2 linked regions of the Kluyveromyces lactis genome follow. The protein of the gene in region 2 interacts with the protein of the main gene of each other region in a biochemical or structural test. Links are inferred from orthologs where the notes say so. Each region holds a gene or a part of one and is shown on either strand. Other genes may lie near its edges.

Region 1 (2,261 bases), about 1.7 Mb from region 2:
ATCAAATTCAGGACCACCAGAGTAGGAAGTGTGGTATCGGATAACCCCAGTGACCACAAGCTCTATCATGGCGGATGCAGACAAGATTATTAAACAGTCTGAGGCGCTTGATCAACTAGCCAAACTAGTGTTATCTCAGTCCCAAAAAAAGCAGTCGACTCTCCCGTCTTTAAAAGAGGAATACGAGAACAAACTGAAGAACGTTGATGAGCTCATCTCGATGATTACATCCGTTGAACTGGATAAAGAGAAGTTCTCAAAAATGATTTCGAAACAAATTGAGATTATTCAGAAAGACGGTCAAGAATATGCTCTAATTCCAGTACAAAGAACTCCTAAACAAGCCAAATTTGGAAAACGAAAGTCTAAAGCTAACAACATTAAATGTTCTTATTGCAATGAAACTGGACACCTCCGATCAAAATGTGAGAAGAAACTCTTGGGAGTTCCACCATGATAGGTAATGTGTTCTATTATTACATATGTGAATAGTGTGAGAGTGGTAGACTCGAATGATATTTAACAGTTATAAATTATTCCTTTCTGCAGCAGGAACCCTGTTTTTCGCTGCTTCTTTCGTTTACTTTCTTTCACTCATTAATTCTCTTCTGGTTGCATCTTGAAGTAGGTTGGTATCCACCATAGATTTCTTCAAATGTACATACCTCACAGTAGAACCTCTGATGAACATGTTCCTCACGCTTGATAGATGTGGATATTTTTCATTATTGTTGGACGAAATGTTGTCTAATTTTAAGTTCAAAAATTGGTCGACTGATTTTAGAGTACCTGTTAGTTCAATACCGTTCTTTAGTTCGACTTTGACTTCATGATCAACCAGGGTCTTGAAAAATGAAAATAATAGCATGGTTCTGGACAGTACGGCCTTGGTTCAGAGGTCCATGCATTTGACTTTTGAATGTGTTGTAGTTGTATTGTCAAATTTCAACATGAAATTGTTTTAAACAATTTCATGTTGAAGGAAAAAAAAAAGATACATGTACAAAATTGACATACACAACTTCATATGTAGAAGTAGAGAAGCTGCTGGACTTAAGAGGACTAGCTGGGATATTTTTACGTCGATTGCTGAAATAAAACTATTGCCAAAACATTCAAGCTAATATGTGGGGCTAGATAGTAAATAGACAAAAATAAAATGATAATGATAAAGATTGTAACGAAACAAGAAAGTAACGTAAAAGTACGTAGAAGTACGTGAAGGTACGATATTTTCAAAAGTTAGCATCACGGTTATCTCGTAGTTCTCACTTACTCCTCTGCAACATCTTCTCTCTTCTTTAAAACAAGGGGGTGACCAGTAATCCTAAAGTAGATATCCTTGACATCGTCGGTCATGGATTCGAAGTGAGATGAGGAATCGTAAGATTTAGAGATGTAAATGTTGTCTTTAGTGCCATCTTCGATCGGTTCAAAGATTTCTGAAATACCCATGAACCTCTCCTCAATTGGGCCCAACATTTTGAAAGCCGGCTCTAATTCGATATGAGGTTTATCAGTTTCAATGATGGTTGATACACTGGCGAGGTAATGACCCTTCGAAGTAACTTTATGGGCGTCAGAGACAGTAGCAATATAAATGTCGTTCTTTCTTCCAACTTGTGATTGTGGTATAATTATTTGGCAAGAATCAGCATTACTAGTGTTAGGAACAGGTTGTTTAGTGATGCAAATTGCTCTGATCACCTTTTCACCTGTAGTTTTACATTTCTCAGGGAAGTATGTTGGATCTGCGATGACTATTGGTGCTTTTGCAGTACCTTCTTTGGTGACAATACCTTCGAATTTACCATCGTCTGAGTATAAAACCTTTTCAATTGGGGTATTTAGCATGTATGTCCCACCGTAAATAGCTGATAATCTAGCAAATCCTTGAGGCAATTCGCCCAACCCATACATAGGGTAAATATATGGAGATTTACCAAACCTGGAAATCGATTGCACATATAGGATAATTCTTTCCACTGATGGTCTAGCAGGTTGTTGCAGATAATCGTCATTGGTCCAAAGGGCCATTGCGTGTCCAATAAATTCTCTGGTTGAATTTCCTAAGCCAAATTTGTAGTATACCTCATCCATAGTGTTTTGATCCAAGTTTAAGCCCTGATGTGTGGCGATATCTTCTTCATTGTATGCACTGATCCATTCCAAGAACTTCTTCATCCTTCTTTTCTCGAAGATACCCAATAAAGAAGATGAAATAGCCTCCATTTCGTTAGCAGGAACTTTATATACTTTAC
Region 2 (3,940 bases):
CGATCACTTCAGTTCAGTGATTTCACCATCACGAGCAACAAGACCCATGACATTCAAGAACAAGTTCAAATCCTGATAGAACTTGTTTCTTTGATAAGCCAGTTTAGGGTCTTGTTGAGAAGGGGCATTTAGTTCTTCAGCCTTTGAAATGACTTCGAAAATTTCGTCTCTCACTTCATCAATCAATATACGTTGATGGTTCAATTTTCCGCTCAAAGCAAGCGATGCAAGGAACTGCCAGATGTAAGATTGATCATACTGAGTAGAATCCTGTTCATAAACTGAAATGGCGTGTTGCATATATTCAGGTGTTGGGAAAATTGCAGTCAATTTTGTTTCTAAAGAAGTAAATAGCCTATCATAGACTTCACTCCAAGTGGATACTTCCACAGAAGACAACAGTTTGCCCCTGCTAACATCTTGTTTCATCAAAGCAGCACGTGAAATGAGCACGGTAATCAAATTCAAACCGATACGCGATGTGGTGATGAAAGAAACGTTATTATTCTGAATGACATTTATTAGTAGACTCATTACCTCCAAAAACTCTGCTGAACTGGATAAGAACGAAACAATGATCTTCAAAAACACAGATTGGAACAATTCCATCTTCTTCAGTTGATCTTTAGTAGGAAGTGGAGTAGTCTTGTACGATGATATGACAATGACATTCAAATGAGAAAGTTCCTTGAAGAAGCAGTTGAAAAGCTTAATCTTCTCTTCTCTTGACAAGAAATTCATAATACGTGGCATAATCTTGATACCTTTGTCGAAAGATAAGATGGAAATGAAGGGAGAAACGTCAAAACCGTGGTCCTCAACGTGTAGCGCCTCCCATAATTTTGAACTGTCCGGCTGTTGACCGGATCTCAATTGAGCTTCTAGTTCAAGCACTTCTTCGTAAACAGTTTCAATCAATGATAAAATGAACTTACGGCCACCAGAACGGGATAAAACTGTACGATGGTCCACTGAAGAACTCAAAGCATAAGATGATCTTCTTCTTTTGGCATTGATATCCACGCCTTGCAAAGATTCAGACACCTCATCTAGGGCTGAGCTTGATTGAGAAGACAACGCTGGAGAATCCTCTTTGTGAGTTGGGATTTGTAATTGCTTTCTTGGAGCTTTTGAGTTCCTAGTAGCTGAGATTTTACCCAAGACACCCTCTTTGGCATTATCCAACCCACCCTTACTTTTCTGTGGTCTTTCTTTCGCAACGGTAACAGCCTTCTCGACCTGAGATTGCATTCTCTGTAACGCGACGTCAGTTCTCTTGTAACGACCTCCTAATCTGTGACCCGAGTGCTCTAAATATGCTTTAGCAATAGAATCCTTATTAGATTCAGATGGAGTGACACCCCTTTGAATGATTTTATAAACTTGGAAGTAGAAATCCTCATTGTAGGGATCATCAGTGACAATTTGAGATAACTGATACCTGGTGATAAAATCCTTGTCTCTTGGAGTCATTACACCAGAGTGTCTGAGAATTTTGTCAACCTTCGATTGTCTGATTTGAAGACGTCTCAATTCTTCATCAGTCAAAGGATCTTGGGTGCCAAACCTCCTTGGACCACGGCGATACTCTCTAGGTGTATGAGGTGGAGTTGGCACCTGCTCTGATTCTGTTGGCACAGGTGTTGGAGAGTTAGAATGCTCATAATCTTGAGTAGAACGGACAGCTTGGGTTCTAGCAGCAGTGTCAACGGAGTGAGGCTGTTGGAACACTTGTTGCTGTTGGTGTTGTTGTTGGTGCTGCTGATCTTGTTGGTGTTGTTGAGGCAAGTATTGGGGAGGTAACTGCTGTTGGTGGGGCTGCTGGGGCTGAACAGGAGGTTGATTTTGCATTGGTGGCATAGCCATCTGCGGATGTTGCATATGATGTGCAATGTTTCCTTGTGTTTGATTGTACATTATCGGTGGTACTTGTTGGAATTGTTCCTGAGGGTTAACAGGTTGATTAGGAAATCCGGCATTACCGAATTGATTAGGGATAACAGGGGGAATATTTTGCCCAGGGAATTGCTGGTATTGACCTTGAGGGAACCCTTGTGGAATAAAGCCGTAGCCAGGGTTCTGCGGAGGTTGCATACCATAGAATCCAGGTTGAGGCGGCATAGCCATCTGTTGTTGTCTGTCTAAAGATTGAATGGCCAATCCTTCCACATTAGGTGCACCTTGCTGTTGAACCTGTGGTGGGGCTTGGAATTGTGTAGGGGCTTGAGGTTGCACCTGTTGTTGCTGATTACCGGAGCTGTTACCCCATAAAGATTCCATAGGTTGCATGTCCAGCGATTGTTCGAAACCAGGTTTACAGTCTGCTTGTCTGTTCATTTTGGCATTTGCAATAGATGCATAAGAAACAGGAGCTGGTGCTGGTGCCCTACCAGAACCTGAACCAGCGCCAAGCTCCCCTTTACCGTAACCAAAATCAAAATCTGTACCCAGATCCGCTCCAGTACCAAAAGTTTCATCATTGAGCAAATCATCTTCCTCTGGCTCATAATCACCCAAGCCTTGATACGTTTCTTCGAAATCTAAAGAATCCTCCTCGCCTTGCTGTTTCCTCTCACGAGGTTTTCGGCCCGTGGCGTCAAAACCGAAGAATGACATCGTTCAGTGATTCAGGAATATAAGGACTCCTATACTAATTGGGCAAAAATCGATTTCTAGATCAGAATTGTCGACAAATCCTATTATATTCTCTTAAAAACACAAGTAATGTGATTTAAGTCGCTACCTGCCTGCGTTTCGTTCAAGCAATCTTCCAACAAACGGTCTCTGAATATCTCTGATCACTTATTTTTGAGCATAGAAACTACTTTGCTTGTTAAGTGAATTACATTTTTGGGTTGTTGTTTGATGAAAAATTTCACCGTGCAAGATGATATACATATTAAGGATTTCTAGTTCAAAATTTGAAATTCAGGTCATGTGATTTCAAATATTTGACATTTTTCAACATGGTAGTTTAGAAAGTTCCAATACAAACTCGTACGTAGTCTTTCTTTCCTTCATTAGCAGCATATATAAAGTGATTGCGAATAGACAAAGATGACATATACTACTAACATCCTAGGTACAGCTATCTGGAAAATATATCAGCTTAGCAGTTTAGTCTTAAACCTAAGTAATAAAAGATATCTGATCTAATAGCAGTGACCAAGTTCTAATAATTTTAATCTGATTAGCAGTGAAAATACTGATTTGTATGAAGATCTGAATCAAGTATAGTGCTCGAAAAGAATCAACTCAGACTGGTAAAGTGGACTTAACTGCAACTTGGAGAGTACGAAATATCTAAACTATAATCTTGGATTTGATACTAGAAAATGAAACAGAGATTGAGTTCGTTAGATTTGCAACTGATATCCAAAGAGTTGGAGAATCAAATTGTAGGATTTCGCTTAAGAAATATCTATAACATTGCTGACTCAAACAGGCAATTCTTATTAAAGTTTGGAAAACCCGATTCCAAGTTAAACGTTGTCATTGATTGCGGATTGCGAGTTCATACTACTGACTTTACCAGGCCGATTCCCCCGACTCCTTCGTGGTTTGTTTCCAAATTGAGATCGTATTTGAAAGAAAAACGATTGACGGCAGTTAAGCAGATCCCAAATGACAGAATAATTGTGTTTACTTTTGCTGATGGTAAGTACTACCTTGTTTTAGAATTTTTCAGTGCCGGAAATGTGCTTTTATTGGATGCTGACCAAAAAATTCTTTTACTACAGAGAGTTGTCGATGATTATTCGATGAAAGTTGGTGAATTTTATGACATGGCCAACTTTGCAGAAATTAACCAAACTTCAACTACGGTTCCTGATCCTAAGGAATATTTCGAAAATGAAATAGCAGATTGGTTGAAAGAAGCCGACGTTAAAGCCAAAAGCACAATTGTGCCCGGAGAGGCTAAAAAAGGTAAACTCAAGGG

What was found.
Region 1: the proteins of PAT1 (region 2) and LSM2 form a complex in vitro, tested with the Saccharomyces cerevisiae proteins (2 studies listed by BioGRID). The link is inferred for Kluyveromyces lactis from reciprocal best matches to the Saccharomyces cerevisiae genes PAT1 and LSM2.

What each region holds. Positions count from the first base shown.
Region 1 is NC_006042.1:854,663-856,923, reverse strand, and holds LSM2 (Sm-like protein LSM2), read right to left. Parts: upstream 869-2,261; coding exon 581-868; downstream 1-580. Other genes in the region: KLLA0_F09229g (uncharacterized protein), read left to right, coding at 68-457; GDI1 (Gdi1p), read right to left, coding at 1,273-2,261. UniProt on the Saccharomyces cerevisiae protein: Component of LSm protein complexes, which are involved in RNA processing and may function in a chaperone-like manner. Component of the cytoplasmic LSM1-LSM7 complex which is involved in mRNA degradation by activating the decapping step.
Region 2 is NC_006042.1:2,529,624-2,533,563, reverse strand, and holds PAT1 (deadenylation-dependent mRNA-decapping factor PAT1), read right to left. Parts: upstream 2,617-3,940; coding exon 4-2,616; downstream 1-3. Other genes in the region: RQC2 (Rqc2p), read left to right, coding at 3,336-3,940. UniProt on the Saccharomyces cerevisiae protein: Activator of decapping that functions as a general and active mechanism of translational repression and required for P-body formation. First decay factor recruited to mRNA, at a time when the mRNA is still associated with translation factors.